Cricetulus griseus: one gene and its partners. The protein of the gene in region 2 binds, or shares a complex with, the protein of the main gene of each other region. Links are inferred from orthologs where the notes say so. Each region holds a gene or a part of one and is shown on either strand. Other genes may lie near its edges.

Region 1 (10,014 bases), on a different chromosome or scaffold from region 2:
GCAAGAACAGTGAAAAAGTTGAACATAACAATTCATGTCCATAATCCTAGCACTCAAAAGGCCGGAAGCAGGGAGATTACTGGGTTTGAGGCCAGCCTGGACTACATACCAAGATTCTGTCTCAAAACAAAAACAATGTCAAAAGTGGGGAGGGGCTAAGATATGGCTCAGTGGTTAAGAGCACTTTCTCTTTGAGAGGCCCTGGGCTCGAGACCCAGAACGTATATGGTGGTTCACAACCTTAACTCTAGTTCTCAGATCTGATGCTGCCTTATGATCTCAGAGGGTGGGTACCACGTGGTGCACAGACATATGTACAGGCAAAGCACTCACACATTAAAAAAAACAAAAAAAACAAAATGAATATAAAGATTTTAAAAACCACCACAAAAGGAAAATCTTATTCATATACATACATAAATATATGTATATTACAGGCATGCTTATACACATAAATAAAAAATCCTAATTATAGGGAAACTTCTGGTGAAATTTCAGCATCTGACACCTAGACAATGCCTAGCAAGCAGTGGGCATTTAATGACTTCTGTTTCATGAAAGCTTGACAAAGAGCAAAACCAATGAGCAACAGCAGGCTTACTTCTGTACACTTATCATGAATGTTGATCTGTGGCTTGCAAGGCAAATGTAAACACTGGTTCTTAAGGGCCATTTTATATTCTCCCCTGTTGTCCCTGTGAGCTCTTTGATGCTATTGCTGGTAGGGTACAAAACTTTGGAAATCTGGTTGGCCCTTTATGCTTAGGGAAAGAAAGAAGTGTGTTTGACTACAAAATCATACACCAAAAACTGTGGTGATTTGAGCCTTTATGCTCAGCTGCCTGGGGGCTTTAGCTCAGGAATGGAGCTAATCTAAACAACAAGATTTTTTTTCTCCCTGAGACAGGGTCCAGGTCTGTGTAGCTCAGGCTGTCCTGGAACTCTTTGTAGACCCGACTGAGCTCAAACTCACAGAGATCCCCTGACTCTGCCTTGAGTGCTGGGATTAAAGGTGTGTATCACCATACCTGGCTAAAACTCTTTTTCGAGACAAGGTCTCTCTGTAGGCCTCACTGTCTAGGAACTCACTAGGTAGACCAGGTTGTCCTCAAACCCAGATATCCACCTGCCTCTGCCTCCCAGGTGCTAGGATTAGACACCTTTTCTTAAAGATTCATCTGTGAACAAAATTTCTGAATGGAATGTAGTATCAGTTTTGCAATTTACAGAGTATGACTCAGAGGAAGAACTGAGAGAAAAGGATAGGGATTATAGTAAGTTAGTGCCTTAAAAAACCAAGTGGGGTATAGTGGCACACACCTTGAATCCTAACACCAGGAGGCAGACAGCTAGATGGCCAGAGTTCCAGATTAGCCAGGGCCATATTAAAAAAAAAAAGAAAAAAGAAAAGAGGCAGGTACTCGCGCTCTTGCTCCGTCCTGGTTCAATGGTTCCATTAGATGCCCAAGAAGGATACTCCACAAAACAGAATCCACACGCCGTTTTCTTCATTTTATCCAGACCCATGATGATCTTCTTTATATCACCACTCTTGCTGAAGAGTTCATAAATCTGTTCTTCAGTTGTATAAAAGGAAAGATTTCCAACATATAATGTACAGCTTTTCTTCAGTAATTTTTCTTGTTCTTCATTGTCACCCTAGAGTTTCAAATAGAGACGAAATTAAACATTACAACCTAAAAAGAGATTTGTTTAGGGCTATAGAATGCTTAGTCAGGAGAAGCACTAGCTGTGCAAGCCTGACAACTTGAGTTTGATCCCTGGAAGCCCAGTGAAGAGCTGGATGTGGTGGCATGCACCTGTAATCCCAGCACTCCTACAGAACATGGGACCGGAATAGAGAATCTCCTTGAAGCTTGAGGCCAGCCCAGTCTGGAGTAGACAGTGCAGAGCAGAAACAAGAGTGAATCCTCCATAAGCATTACACATATATAAAATGAACAGACTTGAAAACTAAAATTACAGAGCCTTGGTTAAAGTCATATTTCCAAGTATAATAAAGATGCCCATTCTGATCTGGAAATTAAAGGCTCTCATCTTCTGATCCCTAGCACATACTCTTCCTTGCCCTAAGAGGTGGTTGTGGGGTGAATGCAGAGATGGCTTATAGGTTAAGAGTACTGACTATTCAAAGTGTGAATTTGTTTTGGGGCATTGGAAATTGAACCCAAGATATTACATATTAGGTAAGAACCCTACCAGTCTGGAAGTATTCCCATTCTAAAATACTAGTGTAAGGTTCAGCCTGCTTTTAGTGGAGAAACAAAGCACATATCCTCCTATATCATACTGCCATAAGAGTGGCATGCCTTTTTCTTGCATAGTTCATTGCCCTCAGCACTGGATCCTTCTCTAATGGCCAAGTTCAAATTCTACACCTTGACAGAACATATCAGAAAGGCCTTTTACCCTTTATAATAAAAGTAAGTCTTGTCAGTACTCCCCTAAAGCCTGTTCATAGCAAAAACTGCTAGGTGATTTGCATGGTTATGTTTTTGTGCATGTAAGAGGTTAGTGACCACTAAGAGGATTTTTTTTTTCTTTTCTTTCTTTTTTAAAATGTGGTCTCTCTCTGTAGCTTTGGCTAATGTAGAGCTCAGAGACTTGCCTGTTTTAAGGCTCCTAGTGCTGAGATTAAAGGTGTGCACCACCACTGTCTGGCAAGACTTTCTTTAAAAGACAGGATGAAGCCAGAGAGAGTGAGAGAGAGCGAGCGAGCGAGAGAGAGAGAGAAAGAGAGAGAGAGAGAGAGAGAGAGAGAGAGAGAGAGAGAGAGAGAGAGAGAGAGACACGTGCTAAAGATGGGAGTTTAAGCGAGCTTCAACCAACATAAAGCAGTCCCCAGGTATAAGATGGTTCATTGGGTCTTAGATGTGGTATTTGATTATTTGTGGTGATGGGGAATAAACTCAAGGTTTCACGTTAGCATGCTGAGCAACACCCCCAGCTCCAGGTTTGTTTCTTATCTCTGGGACCTTACATTATAGTCTAGACTAGTCTTGAGCTTTGAACACCCTGCTTCAGCCTCCTGAAAGCTGTGATTATACACATGAGCCACCACACTCAGCTAGCATGGTGTTTATCAGAAGAAAAGGGGGGGGGGAGTTATCCCTGGGCTTTCTAGCATTCCCACTGGAAAGGACACAAATGCACAGATGTGACTAAACAGATATACCAACTGACCAGACATTTTTTAGTCCAGACAACCATATGATAGAATCCAGTCTGGAGGAGCTGATAAGACTTAAGTTCAGGGAATTCACTCTAGAACTCTCCAGTTTTCATCTAGTATTCCTTAAGTAATGTTGATCCAGTTCCCTTTTTTTCTGAGAATATGAGTGCACTAATCACCTGCATTCTTTTTATAACAGAGCTCAGGCTAGCAGGTATTTACTTATTATGTATGCAGTGTTCCACCTACATGTGTGCCTGCAGGCCAGAAGAGGGCACCAGATCTCATTACTATGGTTGTGGGCTGCTCTGTGGTTGCTGGGAATTGAACTTGGGACCTTTGGAAGCCAGTGCTCTTAACCACTGAGCCATCTCTCCAGCTCTGCAGTTTTCTTTACTTTTTAAGTTATTGTGCATGCATGCGTGCATGCGTATGCACGCACAGTGTGACAGCCCTTGGAGACCAGAGGCATCAGATTCCCTGAAACTGGCTGTGAGATGATACCTGGTGTGTTAGGGACTGAACTAGAGTCCTCCAGACACCCCCTACCACTTTGTTTTTTTTGGGGGGGGTTTCAAGACAGGGTTTCTCTGTAGGTTTGGAGACTGTCCTGTAACTCTTTGAAGACCAGGCCTGCCTCTGCCTCCTGAGTGCTGGGCTGGGATTACAGGCCTGTGCCACCACCACTCAACTGTCTCCAGATGCTTTTGTTACTGTTTTTTTGAGACAGGGTTTCATGTAGCTTAGGCTGTATTGAACCATTGTAACCAAGGATAACACTGAATTGCTGATCCTCTTGCCTCCACTTTCCTAGTACTGGGCTTATAGGCACTCACCACCACTCCAAGTTTATATACAGCTCAAGATCTACCCAAGAGTTTCATGCATGCATGCTAGGCAAGCATTCTACCTGTTGAGCTAAGTCTACTTAGCCCAATTGTTTTCTGAGATAGCCCAATCTGGCCTCAGACTCCTGAGACTCATGCTACCACCTCCCCCAAATGCTTCAGTAACAGGCATGGGTCATCACACCCATCTCCAAGTTACAGTTTTTGGCTTGGCTTTATTATTATTTTATAGGTATGGGTGTTTTGCGTGTTTGTATGTCTGTGTACCAGATGCATGGCTAGTGCCTTCAGAGACCAGAAGAGGGCACCAGATCCTTTGGAATCAGTTACAGATGGTTGTGAGTCATCATGCCAGGACTGGGAACTAAATCCAGGTCCTCCAGAACAGCTTGTGCTAACCTCTAAGACATCTCTCTAGCTTTCCAAGTTACAGTTTAAAAAACAAAACAAAGTAAAATTCTGGTCTTATCCCCACTACCACATTGCCTTAAGATCACAACAGGACTGAACAGGTGAAGTCTATGGAACAATAGTCATTTGCATTCAAACAAACAGCTGGGTGCCCTGGGCGATGGTGGCACACACCTTTAATCCCAGCACTCGGGAGGCATAGGCAGGCGGATCTCTGTGAGTTCAGGGCCAGCCTGGTCTCCAGAGCAAGTGCCAGGATAGGCTCCAAAGCTACACAGAGAAACCCTGTCTTGAAAAAAACAACCCCAGCTGGGTGGTAGTGGTGGTGTTGCATACCTTTAATACCAGCACCTGGGAGGCTGAGACAGGCAGATCTCTGTGCGTTCAAGGCCAGCCTGGTTTACAGAGGGAGTGCCAGGACAGGCAGGGCTACACAAGAAACCCTGTCTCAAACAAACAAACAAGCCCAAACCAAATAAACCCAAGGTTTTAGAACTTTCGATGATCCATTAGAGAAAATAATCACTTCAACATTTTCTTTTACATGTTCCAGCTGATCTCATGGGATCTTCCTGCCTCAGTCTCCAGAACAACTAGGAATACAGATGTCCACCATCGCACCTGGCTAGCAGATTCACTTTGTACTGCTGTTCGTTTCTCACAAGTAAAATCCAAACAGTTTACAGCTTCAGTGTAACTTAATTTCACACTCAGTACAGCACTGACACTAAAAAATGCACGACAGAAATTATTAATGTCCGAACAGAGCTACAGGCTTTTGACAAAAGAAATAAATGATCCCTCTCCTGGTTTTAACCTTGCAGGATGCTTTAAATTCAAAATCGTTAGTTACTGATGTGGAACTGTTGAAAGTAATGGGAACTGTTAAAAACAAAACAAAACAAAACAAAAACAGCAGTACAAGTGAAACTCATACCAGACACACAGTATACGTTTTCAAATTAAGCTGATTGAGTTTCTTTGTGTTTTTGCTTGTATTTCGAGACAGGGTTTCTCTGTGTAGCCAGTGCCTGCACTGGATTTTGCCATCCAGACAACCTTATTGTGACTCGTGTGGCTTGTCCATGCCCGATGCCCGTCAGACAGCAAAAAACAGGGCTCAACTTTGAGTCTCCTACTATTGCCAACTTTGTAGGACTGTCTTACAAAAACTAAGGACTGTAATACCAGACGGGAATGTCTAGCTGATTATAAAAACAAAAACGGCTATACTGTCTGGGTCAGCCAACGCAGGGATAACTCCTTCATTACAGACACTTTCCCAAGCAAGACAAGCCCATCAAAACAGCCACCACTACCCGAACCTCCCTGCATTGGTGCTGGTACCCGCAGCAGCAGTAAGAAACTGTAAAAGCAAATCCCAGGTTCCCTAGGAGTAAAGTGGCTTCAATGATATCCAAACACCTCTGGGACCCCATTCGCATTTTAGGACCCCAACAAAACAGGAAGGAAGACACAATAAGACGAGTGGAAGACACAGTAAGACAAATGCAAACCGTTTCTCAGTATTCCAGCCCAAAGCCAGCCCCTCTCGTGGCCCGGCCCGCCTCACCCGGAAGTGCTGGTCCCGGTACTCGCTGAGCTCCACGTAGGAGTCACTGCGTAGCGCCTTCAGGAGGCCACCGGACATGGTGCAGACACGAACCACGACGCGGCCACGACTGGAAGGACCAGGCGGCGGTGGCGGCGGAAACGGAAATGCGTGCGTCCTGTTGCAGTAAGCCGACGTGGTCAGGGCCAATCCTGGTGCGGCTGTGTCGTCATCATGCGGCGCCGGCTTGTCCGTCGTCGGGAGTGGCCGGTCGGAAGGTGAGTGAAGGCTCGCCCCGGGTTCCCGGGCGCTCCGAGGACGATGATTTTCCGGCGGCTGCTGGCAGCCCTGCTGCACAACCCGCAGCTGGTGGAGCGGCTGTCCGAGTCACGGCCTATCCGGCGGGCGGCGCAACTCACGGCTTTCGCGCTGCTGCAGCTGCAACTGCGCGGCCACGACGCGGCCCGCCGTCTGCGCGCCCTCGCGGGTCAGCCCCTAGGCTCCTTGGGTCGCCGCGCCACCCGGTTCAAGGACACCTTCACCCAGGAACTCCGCCGAGGCCTCCGGGACCAACCAGGGTCATCCCCAGGTCATCAGAAGGGTCCGGGCACCAAATCATAAGCACAGACTGCACTCTCACGGGCCTAGGTCACGTTCCCCCACCCCTCCCTCCAGTGATCTACACCGACCTTAGCAAACATGAGTCATCTCCCGCACGATGCACGGCCTCGAATCCTGACGCGGCGGTCAACATACAGAAGCCTAAGGTCAAATGGACATGTGCGTGGTAGTCCTGTGACTAGGCAGGACGTAAAGACCCCGAAGGCCACCAGAGATAAAAGTCAACACCAAAACTTAGTATGACTGAGAGCCAAGGACAAACGACCAGGAAGCCTGCCTTCTGCAAGCGGGACTGAAGCGAAATAAACGCTACTGCCATCTGCACTGGTGCAGGAGAATACCAGGGAAGATGGTAGATGGAATGACAACCCTGAGGTTGCCAAGATCTCTGGTTAAATATGTAAGCTGCTAAGTCTGTAGGATCTTGCTAATAATAGTTTACACGTTAAGCGTCTGTGTTGCTATTTGCTGTTGCATTGTGTGGTTTGTGACTTAAAACCCCATTCGTGTGAGAAAGTGGAGGCCACTTTTTGAACCCAAAGCCTTGTACAATGAGGTGAGCCCAGGCGTGTGACTCCAGGATCTGTGTTCTTGAGCACTCCCTGCTCAGGGACTGGCTTTTCAATCTCCACTGAGCACTGAGGCCTCTGTTATAGCAGCACAGGATACTTGGTTTCCTTGAGGCTCTGTCTGGAGTACTCACTATGGTCAGTTAACTGAACTGTGATTAGGAAACCTGTGCACATAAATTGCCTTGTCATTTTGAGACTCCTAATTCAACTTCTAGACCTCCATTTAAGCCACTCAGTTAATCTTAGCATCTAGAAGGTTGGACTCCATTAGAAAAGCTTTTAGACTGGGTACCAGATTCTGAGCAGTCTGTGTTCTGTTTCCACTGGGGAAGGCCAAGGGGGCCTTACAACAGCACTGAGAAAGGAGAGCACCTGGGTTCTTCATTCTGAGAGATTTTTTAATTTTATAAAATTTTTTATTTTTTATTTATTTTTTTTATTTTTTTGGCTTTTTTGAGACAGGGTTTCTCTGTGGCTTTGGAGGCTGTCCTGGAACTAGCTCTTGTAGACCAGACTGGTCTCGAACTCACAGAGATCCACCTGTCTCTGCCTCCCGAGTACTGAGACTAAAGGCGTGCGCCACCAACACCCGGATGAGATTTTCCTTTTTTTTTTTTTTCCCATCTTGGTGCTGGGGATAGTTCCTTAACCATCCTAAACAGGCATTGTGCCCCTGAGCTTCATTTCCTGATCCTTTAGACAGTGACTGGAAAAATCCCACCACTGCTCATAAAAGGAGTCAAAGAGGATAGGAAGACATTCTCTGGAATGGCTTGTTTTGGTTATGCCCAAACCCCGAGTCCACTGGCACCAAAGTGCCATGAAATATAACACAATGACTGCTTCCTGGCTAAAGAGCCTTGTAGAGACATGTTTATCAATCTGGGGGACATTAGTCTGTGGGCTCCAGGGCTGACACTGACCTCAGGACCCTCCTGTCTGTGGTGAGATTGGGTGATTGGCTGAGTGGAAGGGACTTTGTTAAGATCAGTTTGTGAGTAGCAGACTAGGGACTAGAGCTGAATGTGAGCCACCTGCTGTCCCTACTTCACACTGTATTTGTTTAGAAAGCCAGATTGGAAATCAAAGGTTGTCATGGTAACAAGAAGTCAGGCATTGTGGTAAGTTTGGGAGAGGCCACTTAGGAACGTCATCAGCAGTTCATTGTCTTTGATAACCAGGCGCTACTATATATTTAGACATTACACAGCAATTGGAGGTAACGGCACAGAAACAAACATGTGCCTGTGGCTATGGTAGGCTTCTTTGGGGACCTTGGCATTGGGACCATGACTGGTCAAATCTTTGGTGTCTGAGGAAAATGAATGTGGGCTCACTTAGAGGAACAACCTGTGGGTATGCCCATCAGAGACAGCAGTAGAAGTCCTGTTCCATTATCCCAGCCCAGCAGCCTGTGAGGAGTGGCACCTTCTATGGTTGAATCTTAGGCCATGGCTGCTTTGTCATAACGGGCTTCTCCTCCAGCTCTATGACATGAAGACTAAGGTGGGTCCTCCAAGCCCCACTGAGCAGGGAGGACAGGGCTGGAGGGTCCTCCAGGGTCAAGTGGGGAAATAAAAGAGTTTCATTCTTGAGAGAGAAACTACACTTCTCCAGAGCATGCCTGTTGGTCCCAGGTGTTACAACAAAGAGCCGGCAGAGCTGTGGCCCCCCAGCCTGTTGGCAACCTGGTTGTCTGCTGAAATTGTTCAGGGCTTGGCACAGGACCCTGTCCTCAGCTCCAGCCATATCCACCACCTCCACAGGTGATCCCAGGCCTGAGAGGTGCAGGAGGTGCTGAGGAGGCATGTAGGTGTGGGTGAAGAGAAGCGTGTAGTGGGTGGCCCTGCCCGGGAGGACAGGTGCATGGACTACATGCTCCAGGTATTTCAAGCCAGGTACCAAACCTCCCTGATGCAGGCAGCCAAAGATGAGCGCACCTAGGGCATTGAAGAGGACCAGGGTACCCCTCCAGGGTATAGGTTGTGTTTGCGGACTACAAAGCAGGATTAGAGGGACTATGAGGGGAATCAGGAATCTAGCCTCTTGGTGGCTAAAGGCAGACAGCAGGACCAGGGGTGTGAAGTAAAGGAGAAGGAGGTAAGACTTAGAACTAGGCAGTAGGCCCTGGGGACCCCGCGCCCTCAAGAGGCCGGTTTGTGCAACTGCATGGAGGCAGCTGTGGAGTTGTTGCCATGCCGCCTGCAGGGCTTGAGCATGCAATACCCCGAAGAGCAGAAAGCCATTGACTGCCAGGTGAGTGAGCCGTGCATGTGTGCCATGCCTTGCAAGGTTTTGGGGGTCCAGGTTATAGTACAAGAAGTTTACAGGTGTAAGAACAAGGCCACTGGATCTCGAGAGGCTGGAGAAATACCAGCTGTCCATGGTTATAAACAACACTGCAGCAAGAACAGCCCCTGGCAACAGCACCAGGGCCTCCTGAGTCAAGGCCTTGATGCCAGGTTCCAAGGCTCTATGGATTCCCCAGAGAGAGAGGGGGGCCAGAGCAAAGGCTAGAAAGGTTGGCCGATTGAAGAAGCCAGCAGCCACAATGGCACCAAGAAGGCAGCTGTGCCACCATGGACCCGGGGTAGGCTTCTTTGATGTGGGACTCCATGCCACATAAGGGGACACCAACACCAGCAGCCAGGTGAAGAGAAGTCCCTCGATGGTGTTGGAGAAAGTCCTTGTGTAGAAAACCAGGGTGACATAGGACCCAGACAGCAGGCACATGGCATTCCAGCGATCTGCCCCCCACAGTGGAGCCAGATAGTACATAGCCCAGTCCAGGGCAAAGGAGAGGGTAGTGAGGAGGAG
Region 2 (9,215 bases):
CGTTTTCTTTCTTTCTTTCTTTCTTTCTTTCTTTCTTTCTTTCTTTCTTTCTTTCTTTCAAATCAGAATACAACATCTATTTCATCCTTAGAAGACCTGAGAACCCAGCTTCTGGTAAGATCTAGGAGACTCCTACAGGACCTGGGTCCCACACATATCAGCTATAAATTTCAGGTGAAACACAAACAAAAGAAACAAAAGAACGAACTGGAAGTGCTGCAATAGCATATATGGTTGGTCCAAACTGGAGAGAAAAAGAAAGAGACGAAATTTGCTAGCCGCCCCTGTGCCTTAAAAAGGCCAAAGGAAGCTTGAGGTCAGATACTCAGAAGGTGTGAGGACACGTATCACTGTGGGGGCTCTCCAGAAAAAAGAAAAATTGAATGTAACCTGTTTCTGCCACAGAATGAAACATTTTCATTTTGAGGTAACTATTTGGGGTATTCATATTCTCTGACAGAGGAAAGACAGGCACAGTGTGCAGCAACAGCAGGAAATATAATTAGCACAAGAGAAATACATTCTGAGGTCAAATTCTTGTTTCTTTTGCTATAACTAATAATAACTAATCACAAAGACTAAATGTCATGAATATAAACTAGATTTTTGTTGAAATACCTACTAGGTCATCATGTAATTTTGAATCAAAGTGCTTTCTTATATTAATTTATATTATATTATTAAGTTAATACAGCAAAGCAGGCAATCAGGTCCTCCCACTATTCTGGGAAGGGTGGACTATTGAATGGGAACCCAAGCCAGGTGTTAAACCCATCTGTGTCAAACTGATCCTCACCAAGTCTTTCCCACCACCACCCTAGTCATGTTCTGTTTCCAGCCGATCCAGGGAGAAGAGGTTGAAACTCAGACTAAGGAGCAGTTTCCAGGCAAGGGAAACCTGGAAAGGGGACATTTGGAGTCTCTGCTTTATTTCTGTTTGTATTCTTTAAAAGAATAAATAACAACAAAATCAAAACCAAACCAAAGTCCTATATGCAGTAGCACTTCATCCAAAAGCAGCTGATTCTCTTTATACTTCACTTGTGCTAAACATACAGACTATAAATTCCACTCTTGGAATGCAGGTGTTCTCTAACTATTTTGGCACATGGCACTAGTTACCTGACAGGGCAACCAGAGAAGTAGAGCCAGGCCAAGCACCTTATAATACACAGAATGGTGCTCGTTCACAAATACGTACCCTGAAACGTCCACTGTGCTGAGGGTTAAGGTTGTTACATGCAACAACAATGGAACCAGCAACAGTTTTGGTTCTTTAGCTAGCTAAACTTCTTCCAGAAACAATCTAGTACTTATATGCTTGCTGTCTGGCTTCAAGACAGACATCACACACTGAGATATAAAATAATTAGTGTGCTTAAGATATTCATTTTTACTTCCAATATTCACAACGCAATCATGTTCTCCTCTTAATGGGATGCCAACAACTTGGCTTCATAATCAAAAACACTATAAGAATCATCTTAAAAATTAGAATGTTAGGGGGCTGGAGAGATGGCTCAGAGGTTAAGAGCACTGACTGCTCTTCCAGAAGTCCTGAGTTCAATTTCCAGCAACCACATGGTGGCTCACAACATCTATCATGAGATCTGGTGCCCTCTTCTGGTGTGCAGGCAAATATGCAAACAGAACACTGTATATGTAATAAAAATAAGTAAATAAATTAAAAAAATTAGAATGTTAAGTTGGGAGGATGACAAAATACTTTTTAATAATTGTACAATGAGTCACTTAATCTGAGTTGTTTAAAAATATGGACAATTTAGAAAAGGCAGCATTTTTCTTGAAAAAAAAATTAACAATAGCTAAATGGGACTTGGGGTAGCTTGGTCAGTAGAATGCTTGCATGAAGCTCTGGGTTCAATCCTTAGCAATATATACAACTGGGCATGGTGGTTAATGCCTGCAATCATAACAGAAGCAGAGGCAAGAACATCACAAGTTACAGGTCATCTTCAACTGCACAGCAAGTACCAGACCAGCCTGAGCTAGATGGGACCCTTTCTCAGAAAATAGAAGGAAAAAAGCAGACATGTTTAGCATAGTGGCTCACGAGTACTATCTCAGAGTTCAAGAGGCCTAGGTAGGAGGGTTGTCACAATGAGGACAGATTGGGCTACCTAGACACACATTAAACAAACAACAAAAATTAGCTAAACATGGTGCCTGGGAGATGATGGCTCAATGGATATTGGAGTATTGTGCTTACTGTACAAGCATGAGGAACTGAATTAAATATCCCCAGAATCCACATTAAAAGCTAGATCTGGTGACACATGCCTCTATGCCCAGTGCTCAGATCCCATGGGGCCTACTGGTCAGCCAATATAGATACAATGGTGAGTTCCAGGTTCAATGAGAAACTTTGTGCACGCACGCACGCACGCACGCACGCACACTGATCAATGAAAGACAGCTGAAGTCAACCTCTGCTCACCCCCCACAACACTTCCCCTACCCAAACAGCTAAAATTGAGCACTCATATGAGACACTGTTCATTTTTTACATACTATTATTGTTCCTCTGGGAACTGAGGCACAGGAAGTAAATAACTCACTCATGCTCCCACGTAGTATATGCATTAAAATGCTAACCAATTGGTTCTTGAATGGTAAACTATACTGTCTCTCTTATTTATATGAACAAAACAATTTTTTACATAACAAGGTATTATAGTTTTAATCAATCTAATGCTGAAAAATTAATTGAAAATTAAAAGGTTATTTCAGTGCTGGGCTGGGCAATGCGGTACAAGGCTGTAATCCTAGCACTTGGAAGGCTGAGATAAGAGAATCTGTGAACTCACAGCCAATCTGGGTCCACAGAGAGACCCTGCTCAAAAGATCCCTGGAAAGAACAAAGAAAAAGAAAAATATCTAGGGTACAAGTCAAAGGAAACTCTTGGGTACTCCCATACCTCTGGGTCATCTGTGTAGTCAAACATCCTGAAAATTACCCTGGGCATCGGGTACACCGAGTCTTCTGTGTGAGGTGGTGGTGTGAAAGGAGGCAGGTTGTGCTGCAGTGCTTCGCAGAGGATGCTGTCAAAGGCAAGGTAGGGTCTTAGGATGTGCCTTTCCTGCCACCGGTCCTTTTTCAATTTCTGAATCTGGGCCCACAGGCAATCTAAATACTAAAAAGAGATTTTAATATTTAATATAAACATTTTGGCTAGACAGTACAGAAAATGTCTATTCTCTAAAATACAGGACAAAATAAACTAACTTGGTATTTCATACAGTAGAAAAGAATGGCACTAAGTTTTTGTTTTTTACTTAAAAATTTAAAATTGCATTAGTGTGCATGCTCTTGCCACAAGCATTGAGATCAGAGGGCAGCTTTTGGAAGGTGTTCCTCTCCTTCCATTCTGTGGTAAGGCTGCCTCTACCCACTAAGCAGTCCATTCTCCATTTTTACTTTAGCAGCTTTTTTTCAGTAGAACATTTGGGGTGACTGCGTCTGCTATTTTTAAAATTGAGTATTTAGATATAAAATGTGTCAAGTGTGTGGACACTGGTATTCTAAAAAGCAAGGGGCTGTTTCAATTATACTCAAACATATATTAAATATCTCCTCTATGCTTAAGAATCTGAGGAAATTAATTCCTCACTGGAAATATTTAAAAACCTAGCTAAGATACACAAACGCAATAGTTTGAGTAAAACTGCAGTTTTACTTATTTGTGTGGCACATGGGGCATAGGGCACTCTCAGAGGTCAGAGGACAACTTATAGGAATCAGTTTCCTCCTTCTACCCGTGGGTCCTGGGAACTGAATTCAGGTTGACAGGGTTGGTGATATAGTTTGGGCATGTTACAGAGGTAAGATCTACTCAAAAGCTGTGCAAGTAACACAGGATGGAAAACAATTCACCTCTTCTTGTGGATGTGGCTTATCGGCAGTCCATACTTGTAGCATGGGCACATGAGTCTTCTGGCGTCGTCTAAGAGTAAAAATGAAAATCTACACTTAGGCTTTAGAAAAATAAAAGACACTCCATGGTTTTCACGTATTAATTAAAAGAATGAAAAACATTTTCATCCATCAGATCAGCAGATAGCAACATTTTTGATAATAGTCTATTTGTCATCAAGATAACAGCACATCTGTATCTCAAACACTGGTGACAGAGGGGTTAATTGGTACAATCTGGAAGAATATGTCTATGGAAGACAATGTGACCATTTCTGTCAAAATTTTAGTTGTTCTGAATCTTCACCCAACTCCATTCCTATGAATTCATATCCCCATAAATACACACAGACATACACACAATATATATATACATATATATTATATATAATAATATTCCCTGATACTTATTTAAGGTAAAAGGAGACTGCACAAACTAAATATCCACAGAGAACTAATTTATTATACTAATAAAGAAAACCATTAAAAAAACACAACACAACAATACCATGGTACTGTTAATAAACCCAATCAGATGGAATCGTTTGAACCTCTTCCACTCGATTTAGATGCCTGGGCAGAGGTATAATTTTAAGTGCTATAGGTGACCTTTAAGCATAAACATATGAACACTAGAACACTAGTGGAACTACTACACCATGGTGTTCTACGCCTTTCACAACAACATGAAAACTGCTTAGCACACATGATACCAACTTCTTACATTAGCAAAGTACTGGGATCTTAATGAATTATGGCAGCAGGAGAATGAAATTTAATAGAGGACTTTTTCAGAAGCTTTAAGGTTTTGTTTTTTAAAAAATGGAACTGAAAGAAAACTGAAGACATTTATCCTATCAGCAGGATATCTTTATGTGAACAACAAAGAACATGCGAGCTGTGCCCTTACTTAAGATAACTTTCAGTGTTGGAGAAGATTCGGTCCATTTCTGCATCTTTCTTTTCATATAACTCTTTTCCAACCCAAGGCAAAGATGACAGAAATGCATACACATACCAATCCCGTCGCACCTGAAGAAAGGTTAAAAAGGTAAGTAAAAAAAAAAAAAAAATCAAAACCAAAAACATGCTAGTTAGCTTTATTTATTTATTCTCTTATTATTTATTCTTTCCAGTGTCAAGGATCAAGTTCAATTCTTACAGATGCTAAGCAAGCATTCTACAAGTGAGCTATACAACTCTCCAGGCCAATCTTTTTTAGTCGAAAATGCAATCCTGGGGAGGCTTTTCAATAAGGCTTAAATAAACTATCTGGCTCATCTAGAGGATTTCTAGATATACAGTTCTACTAATCTTTTTTTAAAAAAAGATTTTATTTATTATGTATACAACATTCTGCTTCCATGTATATTTCCACATCAGAAGAGGGCACCAGATCTCATTACAGATGGCTGTGAGCCACCATGTGGTTGCTGGGAATTGAACTCAGGACCTCTGGGAGAGCAGCCAGTGCTCTTAACCTCTGAGTCATCTCTCCAGCCCTACAGTTCTAATCTTATTAAAATCATCTGAACTAACACAATGATGTCAAGAGAACCCACCAATAAGCCAGTTAGTTGATTTGCCCTTCAGGTATTAAGCACTACAGTGTGATAATCTGTTATTGTATTTTGTTTATTGCTGCTAAAGAGTTATCAGTAGGGAAAAAAATCTGGTACAGTACTTTACAGAAAAGATTCAACATAAAGGTGTCTTACTTGAGGCACATCTTCTTCCTGAGTCACACTTACAAAATTCTCAAACATAGCAACCATAGATGGGGCAGCAATCACATGACAATTCACAAGATCAGATAGAAAACGGACCTGTGAGGGCAAAGGATATCTGTATTAACCTAATAGTCTTTCATAATAGTCACAAAATAAAGCCCATGTCTGTATTTAGCTTATTATCTTTTCGTTTGCGCAACCTGTGAGCCAAGAAGTCTCTAAATTTAATGTTCAAAACAAAGTAATATTCACACAAAATGACATGAATTCAAATTTCAGTGTGCATAACCATGCTTGCAGTAGAAGACAGTTCACACCCATTCAGCCACTTATTGACCCATGCTTCTGTGATACAATGGTGAAATTGGGTAGCTGTACTAAAGATCTTATGCTGGACAGGTATCTGTGACTTTGTGGGTTTCCATGCTATGCTACATTAAGCACCTGGACAGCCAGATATTCTAGTTATTCCATTCTACTGAAGTAGGTTGGTCTTTTTGTTTGGCTAGGAATAATTTTTACTGAAATATAAAAATGGAAAATTTAAGTAAAAGAGATATTGACTACGTGCCAAGACTATATAAGCACTATTTAAGGTACTGTTTAAGGGAACTTAATAGCAGATTTGGGACAAACACAATCTCAACAAAAAGGGATGGCTCCTGCACTAAAAGGTAAGTTAAAAAGTGCCCTTGGGACCAGTGACATCGGTAACAAGGGAAAAAGTGTAAGGAGAAAGCAACTGGGCAAGGTTATAAAGCGTGAGCAAAGCCCTCAGTGGGGAGCAGGGAAGGCATTCTTGGCACAGGGTTGTGCAGGTAACTACATAGCTGCAGGGTATACAGGGGACAAGAGAAAGCAACCAGACTGGGGCAATCATGAAAGATGAAGACTTTAATCCTATATCCTGACAGGTGTCCAAAATTTTCTGAATTTGTCTTCAATAAAAAAGATTGTGATCAAATGATTTTCAACATGTAGGTACTTACTTATGGTAAGTACTGGATTACTACCAATCTATGTATTAGGTATTAGTAAGACTTAATTAAGTCTTTTATTCAAGACACACAAAGGTTCTACGTTGCAGAAAGAACCTAAGAACCAGAGGTTGGGGAGGAGTCTGCAAAAATGCTATCCTCTGGACAGGATATGACCACAGCACTAAAAACCTCACAGCAGCTACAGACAGGTCAACATTCCTTCATGGACAGGGATGGAGTTCATGAGGCCCCAACCCTTTCCTGAGGAGCTACTGGTAGTTAAAAGTTTCTGGGCAAGGAGGTATTTTCTTTAGTTGTGTAGCCATTAGTAAGGTGTCCATCCATGTTCCAGTAAATAACCACCCACACTTGTATGCAAGTGAGTCACACATATACAAAAAGACATCAAAATAGAAAGGAGACTAGAAAGAGTACAGCAAGAGCAGGTGGGAAAAGAGAAGATATTGTGGGACCAACGTAACCAGAATATGTTAAATACATATATGATTCCCTGCAGCTCAATGGATCATTTTGTGTATTAAGACTACCCACTATATAAAACAGGAAGGAAGTGAAGCTTTAACCAGTAACCAACAGGAGCAGCGTCTAGTTACACAAAGGTCACTCTAGTACTATTGTTACTGAAGACAGATTCAAAGGCAGAGACGTCAGATGGACAAAGGTCAAGTAAAGAAACAGCTAAGAACACAAAAAAGTTACAAGTTGTGCTAGAGGCCATGGGACAAAGAAGGGAATTTAGGAGAGGATTGAGAGGGGTTGGAGATGTGTAAGGAGGCAATGAAAAGCTAAAAATGAATGTCAGATTTCTGGATGGCTTGCCCAGCAGATAGTGGCCCCTGTGCATGAGCTGGTGAGCAGACAGAAGAGGGATATAGACAACACATAAACTTCAGGACTTGCAGGGACAAAATCTTTGGGCTGTAGTTGGGATATAGATTTAGAACTCAGGAAAGGTTGAGGTGGGAGATAGTTATAAATTTGGGGCTCCCTTCAAAATAAAGTTGGTTTATGCAGCTATGTGAGTGAATGAGAATGATTCAGAAAAGCTTAAATAAAAGACAGAAGCACTGTAAGACAAACATTTAAATAATAAAAGATAACAACCCAGTGAAAGAGATAAGAATTAAAGATAGGAGCAATGCTGAGGTGGTGGTGGTGGTGGTGGTTGTTATTACTACTACTACTACTACTACTACTACTACTAGTAGTAGTAGTAGTAGGTCTTCAAACAGTCATGCTCTAGAAACCAAGAGATAAGAAAATAATGTAAGGAATCATTCTGCAAGGAAGAGGACTAAGATTCAAAGTAAACACATGCATCACATTGAGTAGTAAGTGAAAATGGCTTCCCAAAGAACAGTTACAAGATGAACAAGGACAAGAATTAAGGACAAGGGAGTAATTAATCGGCTGTAGCTTCTTTCCTCCACTTTAACACTAACTTACAACACACACACACACACACACACACATACACACACATTAAACTTACCAAATATACAGCTTCATTATAGTTATTTGCTTTTAGTGATTCTTTAAGTTGGCGAATCATAGCTTCTACAAATTCTCCACCAAAGTTGTAATTTCTGGCATTCAGCAGTCCAACTAATGTTGTATAAATTGTCAACTTCTCAGGTAACAGACGTGCACTGATTTGAGAACCCGTACAAGACAACCCCAAAACAAAGGTTTTATATTAAGCTGTTGAATTGTACATAAAGCTTTTAACATCAAATAACTTTGGAACAAAATTACTTTTAACTGTGTTTTGAAAATGATTTCAGAAAAGGCATATGTATCACTGAAAAGTATGCAGATATAGACCCCAATATTTTTCATTTTAGTTAATTCAAGAGTTAAGGAACAGTGACTTCTGAAGTTATCCCACCAAAATTAATGCAACTAATGTTAGACCAGTTTTTCTTCAAATGCATTGGGTGGAAATACCAATTCCACAGCAAATGGTTTCCATGGTAATATCAGAAGTGTTCCGTGAAACAGATCCTTTAATGCAGAATCATTAAAGGGGAACAGAGCATTGGGAGTTTCTAAACTTAGCTAACCAAGTGCCATGGAACCAGAATTCCACTTGGAGAAACATTACTGGGTTGCTTATAAAAGGTAAAGAATTAAAATTAGTTTCAACCAATTGCCTATAAGAAATTCTTAATATGGTCTGCTAATATAGTTGAGAAAATGCTGAGGACAGCTCCATGGCTCAGTGGATTAAGGCTCTTGCCACACTGAGTTTAATCCCAGGGCCCATGGGGTAGAAGAGAGAATGATTCTTCTGTGTGTTCATTGACCTCCACATGCTGAGGCACATGTTTGGCCACACATGTACACACACAAAAAATAAATAAAAGGATAATAAAGATAAGCCTAAAAAGAGAAGTCAAAGTCACTTCTTAATTACACAATTATTCACTGCTGAGTACAGGGGATGATTTAGGACCTCAAAAGATACTTGTATTGAAAATAAACCATGGGCCATAAGGCTTTCTCCAAGTAAAAAAATTTAAAAGGACACTGCCAATCAATACCAGCCCA
Region 3 (9,674 bases), about 85 Mb from region 2:
CAAATTAATAGTAAAAATCAGAAAAAGGAAATTTATTCAATGCAGCCATATTGGGAAGAGGGACAAAGAGATCCATGACTCCCACTAAAGTCCATCTTTGGGTCCCAAGATGAGATTAAAGTTTAAATAAAGGCCAAGAATGTGAACTCTAAAGAGTCCAGATCAAAGTGTGGTCCTGCCCACTGCTCATTTACCCATCATTGTCTGGGCTTCATTCTCATTCTACAGTCTGACAAGTTAGAAGTGTGGGAAATTTTTTTTCCCAGTCCCTCCGCACCTTGTGCCTTTTCCTTTTTCAAGCATGAGATCCCTGGGGAAGTTCTTGTTTCTTGGGTTTATTGCTTCAACAATCTGATAGATTTAGAGATTTAGATAAAGAAAAAGCTCTTTATTCTCATTTCTGCCAGGCCAAATTTCATGTGTTCACACATGTGCGTGCATGCGTGTAAGACAGATGTGAGCAGCGGGTATTCTCCTCTGTCATTTCCCCCTTATATATTGAAGCATCTCTCACTTGAACCCAGAGCTTGATCCAGCTTGTTGAGTTAGTCAATGTCCTCTGGGAATCTCCTGCCTGCACCTCCTAAGAGCTAGGATTGCATGTGAGCTGCCATGCCCACTTGTCATCTAAGTGAGTGCTCAGGATCTGAACCCCGGGTCCCATATATGCATAGCAAGCACTTTACCTAATGCGTCATCTCCCCAGCCCAGCATCCCTCACATACTCAGAAACAAGCCCCTCAAAACATGAACCCTGCCTGGTGTGGTGACACATGCCTTTAGTCTCAGCACCTGGGAGGCAGAGGCAGAGGATCCCTATGGGTTTCAGTCTAGTGTAGCCTGCTCTACATAGTGAGGTCCAGGTCAGTCAAGGCTACACAGTGAGACCCTCTCAAAAACAAAACGAAACAAAACAAAACAATCACCTTGGAGGATAATATCCATACTATAATAGACTTGGACTAGAATTTATACCATAGGTTTTCCTTTTCCTTAAGCCTCCAGACTCAAACCAATAAACCTCCCCAGTTTCCAGTCTGCAGATGGAAGATTGTGTGAGTTTTCTGTCACCATTGTCACATGAGCCAATTCATTCTATATTGTAAAACTCTCTGTAAATGTGGTTTATCATTTCTCTGTAGAACTCAGACCAATATTAACTATAATCACAAAGACTGGCTTAGATTCAACTAAAATGCTCATTAATTAGTGGTTAAGTAAAAATGATAGATTCATTTGGGGGGAAAAAATCTCCCCATTCTCATAAAGTCATAGACAAATACCAAAAGCACTACATGTAATAAGAGGCCAGATATAAAATAATACATCATAAATAACCTCATGTATGCAATATACTAGAAAAGATAAAATGTGCCAAGTATGGTGGTACAGGCCTACAATCGCAGTGTTTGGGAGGACCAGGAATTCAAAGACATGCTCAGCTACATGGCTGTGAGGTGTGTAACACAAAACAAAGAGGCTGAGCACAGTGTTCTGGGACTTAAAGAAGGTAGTTATGAGGATCACAAAGCTTGACCCTGAGGGCACAGTTCAGTTGTAAAGCGCTTGCCTACTATTTGTGAATCTAGCATTGTCCAAAAACAAAACACAGCACCCCCACCATGCTGCTGTGTGTCTATTATGTCTATGTAATGTTTTAAATTACTGGACTGGCATGAGGGCAGTCTGTTCAGTTGCTTGGCTGACAGTCCTTTGCTTTTTTTAATTATTTATTTATTATGTATACAACATTCTGCTTCCATGTATATCTGCACAGCAGAAGAGGGCACCAAATCTTATAATGGATGGTTGTGAGCCACCATGTGGTTGCTGGGAATTGAACTCAGGACCTCTGAAAGAACAGTCAGTGCTCTTAACCTCTGAGCCATCTCTCCAGCCCCCTACAGTTCTTTGCTTAAGTCACCAAGGAAGGGACTAAAAACTCTCAGTTATGTGAGAAACAAGACCCTCACTTTGTAATAACAAATTCAAGAGACTAGGGAAAGTTAAAGTTTTTATTTTACAATTCTGTAGACATGGATGCTGGCCTACTAAAAGGAGTGGTGTACCAGGTTGGCATGAAATAGTGATTTTTATTTGTTTATTTATTTATTTATTTTGGTTTTGGCTTTTCGAGAAACAGTGGTTTTTTGGTTGTTGTTTGTTTTGTTTTGTTTTAGTTTCTTTGTTTTTTGAGACAGGGTTTCTCTGTGCAGCTTTGGAGACTATCCTGGCACTCGCTCTGTAGACCAGGCTGGTTTTAAACTCACAGAGATCCGCCTGGCTCTGCCTGAAACAGTGGTTTTTTCCAATTGGAAAAAAAAAAAAAATCCTACCCTCTTCCCATAGGCTGGTACTCCAGAGAGCTATACAACCTTTGCTCTCGCCTAGCAAAGCACCCTCAACGCCCCATCCTATTGGCTCAGAATATACAACCTTATCCACCATATATAATGGGTCTTGGATACCCTTTTCTGATCATCATTGGCTCAGTCACGTGGCAGAGTGCCTGTAACTTTTCAACCCTAGGATAAACTGTAATGCCTAGACAAGCAGGCACCAGTTACCAACTAAGGGAAGAGATGGGTGTGGTTGGGGACGGTGGTGGTAAAGGGTGGGCTTTCGCCTCCAGATTATCTGTAATTGAACGCTAAACCACCTCACGAACATAATTTATTTATCCATTATTTAATAATAGTTTATTTTAATATTTAATAAGACTTTAATATTTACATTTTTGTTGTTGTTGTTCGAGAAAGAGTTTCTCTGTGGCTTTGGAGCCTGTCCTGGAACTCGCTCTGAAGACCAGGCTGACCTCGAACTCACAGAGAGCCACAGGTCTCTGCCTCCTGCCTCCTAATGCTGGGATTAAAGGCGTGCACCACCAACGCCGGGCCATTTAATGTTAGGAAGAGCTTACTTTGTCTTATGGTTCTCGAAAAAAAAAAAAAAAAAAAACTCACAATGATGTAGAAGGCAGCATATAACACGATTTATTTCTTGCAAAACAGCCCTGGCCTCCACCAGCTTAGGCTAAAGGGAAAAAAAAACATAAACATTAAAAGGAGTGCTTATTAAAGCCTATCATTAACATTAACAGCACTTTAAAAATAATTTAGCCGTGATTAGCCAAACACCCTGGGGTGAGGTGAGCCATTTTATCATCTCAGGGAGAATGGCCTACGGGTGACTGGGAAAAGCAGCTGCAGCAAGGGCGGCCTAGGAACAGAAGTGGGGCAGTGACTCCCGCACAGCCAGCCACGCGTGCGAGCAGGGCGAGCCGAGTGAGGCGGTGAGCTGAGGCGGAGGCGAGCAGCCGGAAGGCCTGTCCGGAGCATCCGGGTGAGAGGCCGGAGGTCGGAGCGGAATCACCGAGCGCCGCCTGAGCTCGTCGCAGGGAAATCGCTGGGGAGCGCGGACCTCGCCTCCCAGCGGTGACTTTCGCTATGGTGACGCTCTCGGGGGCCGCCCGCACGGGGGCGCCGGAGCACGGCCATCGGGCCTCCCCTCCGTCCGCCGGAAGCGCTCTCCTGACCCTGCGCGCCGCGGGAAGATGGCGCTGGAAGCTGGCGACATGGAAGACGGGCAGCTTTCCGACTCGGATTCCGACATGACGGTCGTACCCAGCGACAGGCCGGTGCAAATGGCGGTGAGCGAGAGGGCGCGCGGGAGACCGGGCCGGACACCGGGGGAGCGCGGCCGGCAGGAGGGGCGCGGGCGGCCTCGGGATGCGGCGAGTCGGAGGCTGTGGGGCCCCGGCGGAGACTCGACCCCGCGGAGCCGCCGGCCTCGCGGCCTCCCGAACAGGCGAACATCCCCTCGCTGGCGGCTCCTGCTTCTGCACACTTCCCCGGCCCTGCACAGCCGCCCCTGGACACAGATTCCGCCCAAAACGGAACGTGGGGACAGAGAGCTGAGACTGCCTCGGATGCTCTTTTTGTTGTTGTTCCTGGCGGACAGGGAGCTCCTTGCGTACCCGGGGCCCGGTGTGTGTTGTCTCCACCATCCCCCCACCCCCGAGTTTGGTCAGCTTCCACGTACCAGTGTGGAGGCACCAGGCTTTGTTTCAGCTGCTCAGGGTTGTAGACGGCATCTCGATATGTATCCTACGGCTGATCGGGCCCTTAAACTGTCGTCCTGCCCCTTATACCCCACAAGTGCTCGGAGATCACAGTGCACCACCACTCTAGGCAGCTTCCTAATTTTCTGGGACCTTCTGTTACTCCTTAAAAAGCCCGGCTTCCCGCACCCAATCCTTACCACCGCCGCTATCCGCAGTGTTTTAACTGCCGTTTTGGTTTTCAGGTGGGACTGGCATGATGCACTCACTGCTCAGGGTGTAATGTAAGGGTGTGATGCGAGTGCTGCACACTGTAAGGCTTGGCCAATGTTGCCAGCGGCTATTGCTGGAAGACTATTCATCTACTGCCTTAAGTCATCTCGCTCATTTTAAATGCCTAAGAGGAATTCAATAAATGCTTGGTTTTGTGTTTAGTATAGAAAGAAAGCCAAGATTGAGGGTAAAATTACAATTAGAAGAAATAAACTCAGGACTCTCTTGCATAGTAGGGTGACTAGTTAACAGTAGCATATATTTCTAAATAACTAGGGAGTGGGGTAAATCTCAATTATAGAGTGCTTGCCTAGCATGCAGGAGGCATAAGTCAAGTGTAATTCACATATATCCTCTCCCCCCCAATAAAAAGATTTTATTCACCATAAAGTCTTTTTCACCATAAAGAAATGATAAATGTTCAGTGATAGATAAGCTAACAACCCTAATTTGATCATTATGAAATATATACATATATTGAAGCATCATATTGTACCGCATAAATTTGTGTAGTTATTATGTGGTGGTTAAATCTTCACATGTAGTTGTTTTAGGAAACTAATACTAGGATCTTATTTTCAATCCTCTTTTTTAAGCCTTAATAATTTGGTTAACATAATGCTGTGAAATCTGAATTTTGAGGAGTTTTGTTTTTGTTTGTTTGGGGACAGGGTCTCTTTTCATAGCCCAAAGTGTCCTCAAAACCAGGATCCTCTTGCCTTAGCCTTGTGATTAAAGGTGTGCACTACTACACCTGATGAAACCTGCAGTTAAAAGTAATACTTCTGGGATTCTTCCCATAGGAGCTTACCATTAATTTTTTACACCCCCCCCCATAGGGTCTTCGCTATGTAGATCTGGCTGGTCTTGAATTTACAGAGATTTGTCTGCCTCTGCCTCCCAAGAGTGCTGGGATTGATACCATCATGTCTTAAAGGAATGGCCACAGAACCATATAAAGGAAGTTGATACATTCAACTAGAAAATATATTTTTGGAGGGAAAGATAACAAACTTTGTCCTAACTGCCAGTAACAATTATTGTGTATGTCATTCTCACAGATGTGGTCTTTGAGGATGAGAAGTAAAGGCTTTGGTAAATTTTTAGGAGGCAATCTTCCAGCACCAAGTTAATTTAATAGAGACTAGATTATTAGTGTCAGCTGTCTTTGGAGAGAGATTGTTTTTGGATGCTCCAGTGGAATCTCCGGTACACTCTTTCTCCTCCAACCTTTTCTCCTTAATAAAAGTCTGCATGCCCCTCAGACAGGCCTGAACCCACTGTGTAACCTAAGTCGTCCTTAAGCTTCCGGTCCTCCTGCTTCTGGAATGCTGGGATGACAGGCATTCGTAATACCTACATCACTGTAAAAAATAGCCCACGGTAGGTGGAATTAATGCTTTGTGGAAATGACTCTGCTTTCTTTCACTTGCAGAAAGTGCTAGGTGGGGACAGTGTTGCTTGTGCACCAGTGTCACATTATCGGACTGTTAAAAATGTGGATTCCAGTGAGGAGAGTGTGGATTCAGATGAAGACTGCTCTCTTTGGAAACGGAAGCGACAGAAATGTCTTAACCCTCCTCCCAAACCAGAGCCTTTTCCGTTTGGCCAGAGCAGTCAGAAAACAGCTCTCAATGGAGGGAGGAAGGTGAACAATATTTGGGGTGCTGTGCTCCAGGAACAAAATCAAGATGCGGTGGCCATTGAACTTGGCATCCTGGGAATGGAAGGTACCCTTGACAGAAGCAGGCAGTCTGAGACCTACAATTATTTGCTTGCTAAGAAACTTAAGCGGGAGTCTCAAGAGTCCACAAAAGAATTAGACAAAGATCTAGATGAATATATGCATGGTGATAAAAAACCGGGGTCAAAGGAAGAAGAGAATGGGCAAGGTCATCTCAAACGGAAACGGCCTGTCAAAGACAGACTGGGCAACAGAGTAGAAATGAACTACAAAGGCCGCTATGAGATCACCGAAGATGACTCTCAAGAGAAAGTGGCTGATGAAATTGCTTTCAGGTAAGCACTTGTCCACATATCTTGTATTTACAGGAAGCAAAGTAGATGCTAAATGCATTCCTTTTTGACTGTTTTTTTTTTTTTTTTCTTTGATTATTTGTTCGTTTGGTTTTAGGGTCTCCCAATAGTCTTAGCTGCCTGGAGCTTGCTTTGTAGACCAGGATCTCCTCAAACTCACAGAGATCGACCTGCCTCTGCCTCTGCCTCTGCCTCTCAGAGCTGGGATTAAAGGTGTATGCTATACCTGGCTGAGGTTTTGTTTTGTTTTTCTTAAAGGAATTAACCCAGAGCATATTTGACTACGCTCGAATTTGTGTCTTTTTAAAGATAACGTTGAGCTGGACACGTAGCTCAGTTGGTACAGTGCTTGCCTAACATGCATGAGATCCCAAGTTCAATCCTTAACACCCCATAAACTGGGCAGAGTGTTGCATGCCTGTAATCACAGTACTAATGAGATGGAAGTTTAAAATCATTCTCAGCTACATAGGGAGCTTGATGCCAGCCTGGGCTAGATGAGATACAGTCTCAAAAGGAAAAAACAAACAAACAAACAAAAACCCAGAGGGGGCTGGCAAGATGGCTCAGCTGATTTAGGCTCTTGTCATCAAGCCTGGTGCCAGTTTAATCCTCGGTCCTATGTGGTACAAGTAGAGAACTGACTCCTGCAAGTTGTCCTCTGACCTCCACATTTCTGCCATGGTACACACACACCCACACAGATGGATGTAAAATTTTTAATGTTACTCTTAAGTTGAAAAATAACATAGCTATTATGTTAATATGACAGTCATTCATTTTCAGGTGTTGATTTTTTATGGAGACAAATTGCCCAGTTTTATGACCATTACTTTATTATTTATTACAACCTTTGCTTTTAAAATCTTTCTCTCCATCACCCAGTAAAATCTTTTGTGTCCTCATCGGTTTGTCCGTTTACTATTAATATCCTAATTCTCTTTCCCAGACAAGTATGCTTTTCTGCCCTAGTAAATTTGTCATACAGATGCAGCCGTGCAGTATCTGATTTGTAGTTTCCTTCCCCCCCAAGATAGTGTTTCTCTCCGTAGCTCTGTAGACCAAGTTGGCCTTGAACTCAAGAGATCCACCTGCCTCTGCCTCCTGAGTACTGGCATTTGCCACCATGCCTGGCTACTCTTTTCTTTTTGGTTTGTTTGTTTGTTTGTTTGTTTGAGGCAGGGTTTCACTGTGCAGCTCTACTGTCCTGGAAGGAGTTGTAGGGTAGAACAGGCTGCCCTCAGACTCACAGAGATCCACAGGGGTCACTGCTGCCCGCCTTCAGTTTTATTATGAACTATGTTGTAGCAGAAACTAATGCTTTTACACCCCCCTTTTTTTTTCTTTTTTGAGATTGAATTTTTTTATTTATTTATTTATTTATTTTTTTGGGGGGTTTTTCAAGACAGGGTTTCTCTGTGGCTTTGGAGGCTGTCCTGGAACTAGCTCTTGTAGACCAGGCTGGTCTCGAACTCACAGAGATCTGCTTGCCTCTGCCTCCCGAGTGCTGGGATTAAAGGTGTGCGCCACCAACACTCGGCTGAGATTGAATTGTTGCATTGATGAAGGAACCCTGAGATAAAGCCAGTCCTAGGAACTTGCTGTGTAGACCATACTGGTCTCAGATTTACAAGAGAGCTGCTTGCTTCTGCCTCCCAGGTGCTGGGATTAAAGGCATGCGCCACTCGCTATGCCTAGCTATTTATTTTCTTAATTTGTAAATGAAAAGTGTCGCTTTTTTATTTGGATGTTTTGTTTGGTCTCCCACAGCTCAGGCCAGCCTCAAATTTACCTTGTAACAAGATGGGTTTTAAACTCTGATCCTCTTGCCTCTACCTCCCAAGGGCTGGGATTACAGGCACTCAACCACCATATTCTTGACACTGCAGTTTTATTGGATGTGTAGAGACTTACATATCTCTGGACTGGATGGGTAGTCTACATTTATTTATTATGAATAATGCTGTTAACAACCTTTGCTTGCAAATCCTTGACCATATTTTCATTTCTTTGGGGTAAATAGAATTGTTTGGCAGATACTAAATTGACAATTCATGCATTTTTTCACAGGCTCAGATTCTAATTAATGTTTATTAGCTCTAAGTCACTAGTATTTGAAAATAGTATGCCGTTAGGGAAACAAGTGTTTCAGGCAACACCAGTACTGGTTAGTTTTGGGTTTTGTTTTGTTTTTGTTGTTTTTGTTTGTTTGTTTTTCTTTTTAATAGTGAAGATATTTGGGGGCTGGAGGGATGGCTCATTAGTTAGGAGCATTAGGAGCACTGGCTGTTCTTCCAGAGGATCCAGATTCGATTCCCAGTACCCACGTGGCAGATCACAGCCATCTGTAACTCGAGTCACAGGCAATCCAGCACTCACTTTTGGCTTCTGTGGGCATTGTGTGCACATGGTGCACATGCACACATACAGGCAAAACACTCATACACAAAAAATAAAAATAGAATCTTTTTAAAAAGTAAAAAATCAGTCTGGTCTTCAAGTCTAATTACAGGGGATCTAGCATCCTCTTCTGGCCTCCTGGGTATCAAATGAGACATACATGCAAGCAGTACACTTATACATGGAAAACATTTAATAAGAAGTGTGGAGTTTATATTCTGAAGAAATGTAGAATTTATGAATCAGAGTCCCCCTAGGAAACTCAGGCCCAGTACACTTACCTGGCTTGCACAAGGTTATCAACTTTGTGAAGGTCGGACCTGAAGCTGAACCTTGGTCACTTGCTCCTCCTTTCAGGTGCCTTTCCCACAGTATTACATTGCCTCCTGTGAGGAGAAACCAAGGTCTGAGTCTGATTGGAAACTGAAAAGGCTTCTGCACTGTTTTTCTTATTTCTGGGAGCCATGGACCCTGTCTGACCCAGTTAGAAGAGCTACTCAAGCTCCCTGTATTTTATTTTTTGTTTTTTGAAACAGGGTATTACTATGTAGTCTTGCCTGTCCTGGAACTCAATGTGTAGACCAGGCTGGCCTCAACTCACAGAAATCTCCCTGTTTCTGCCTCCTGAGTGCTGGGACTCCTTGTGAAGCACTACTTCCGGCTACTCTGAAAAGTAGAATGAAAATAGTGTGTCTAACATTTGAAAGAATTGATGTGTGCAGATAAGGTAAGGCCATTAGGATTGAACTGTAAGAAATCATTTATAGATGTTGGAAGGTTAATTTGGAAGCATAATAACTGAAAACATACTATATGTCTGTTATTTGTTATTTGTCTTTACATTTAGAGTTGAATTCATTCACCTTGTTCTGCATCGATTATTTTGAGAACTACCATAATCCAG

The links.
Region 1: the proteins of Ncbp1 (region 2) and Ncbp2 are in contact, whole or in part, in a crystal structure (PDB 5OOB), measured with the Homo sapiens proteins. The link is inferred for Cricetulus griseus from reciprocal best matches to the Homo sapiens genes NCBP1 and NCBP2. Residues at the interface, in NP_002477.1 of Homo sapiens: Glu32, Cys36, Leu71, Thr74, Val75, Arg77, Leu78, Leu79, Ser324, His325, Trp326, Lys327, Glu328, Arg329, Lys330, Ile368, Val370, Met371, Thr374, Glu378, Asn415, His419, Ser422, Asn423, Gln425, Lys455, Arg458, Leu459, Ser460, Tyr461; in NP_031388.2 of Homo sapiens: Gly4, Leu5, Leu6, Lys7, Leu9, Arg10, Ser11, Asp12, Ser13, Tyr14, Glu53, Glu54, Gln55, Tyr57, Glu58, Leu59, Lys62, Ser63, Asp65, Lys67, Ile69, Tyr89, Asn96, Arg99, Tyr100, Asn102, Gly103, Thr104, Arg105, Leu106.
Region 3: the proteins of Ncbp1 (region 2) and Phax are in contact, whole or in part, in a cryo-EM structure (PDB 8PNT), measured with the Homo sapiens proteins. The link is inferred for Cricetulus griseus from reciprocal best matches to the Homo sapiens genes NCBP1 and PHAX. Residues at the interface, in NP_002477.1 of Homo sapiens: Cys380, Lys381, Pro384, Pro388, Gln389, Leu391, Ala392, Thr395, Phe417, His420, Leu421, Asn423, Phe424, Gln425, Arg427, Trp428, Ser429, Asp432; in NP_115553.2 of Homo sapiens: Ile114, Asn115, Asn116, Ile117, Trp118, Gly119, Val121, Leu122, Glu124, Gln125.

Annotation. Positions count from the first base shown.
Region 1 is NC_048597.1:57,545,383-57,555,396, forward strand, and holds the start of Ncbp2 (nuclear cap-binding protein subunit 2), read right to left. Parts: upstream 6,181-10,014; 5' UTR 6,104-6,180; coding exon 6,026-6,103; intron 1,660-6,025; coding exon 1,478-1,659; intron 1-1,477. Other genes in the region: protein NCBP2AS2, read left to right, coding at 6,326-6,625; Pigz (GPI mannosyltransferase 4), read right to left, coding at 8,629-10,014. UniProt on the Homo sapiens protein: Component of the cap-binding complex (CBC), which binds co-transcriptionally to the 5' cap of pre-mRNAs and is involved in various processes such as pre-mRNA splicing, translation regulation, nonsense-mediated mRNA decay, RNA-mediated gene silencing (RNAi) by microRNAs (miRNAs) and mRNA export.
Region 2 is NC_048595.1:97,271,924-97,281,138, forward strand, and holds part of Ncbp1 (nuclear cap-binding protein subunit 1), read right to left. Parts: intron 8,315-9,215; coding exon 8,158-8,314; intron 5,761-8,157; coding exon 5,653-5,760; intron 4,967-5,652; coding exon 4,845-4,966; intron 3,966-4,844; coding exon 3,896-3,965; intron 3,156-3,895; coding exon 2,940-3,155; intron 1-2,939. UniProt on the Homo sapiens protein: Component of the cap-binding complex (CBC), which binds cotranscriptionally to the 5'-cap of pre-mRNAs and is involved in various processes such as pre-mRNA splicing, translation regulation, nonsense-mediated mRNA decay, RNA-mediated gene silencing (RNAi) by microRNAs (miRNAs) and mRNA export.
Region 3 is NC_048595.1:182,313,658-182,323,331, reverse strand, and holds the start of Phax (phosphorylated adapter RNA export protein), read left to right. Parts: upstream 1-3,494; 5' UTR 3,495-3,553; coding exon 3,554-3,649; intron 3,650-5,768; coding exon 5,769-6,352; intron 6,353-9,674. UniProt on the Homo sapiens protein: A phosphoprotein adapter involved in the XPO1-mediated U snRNA export from the nucleus.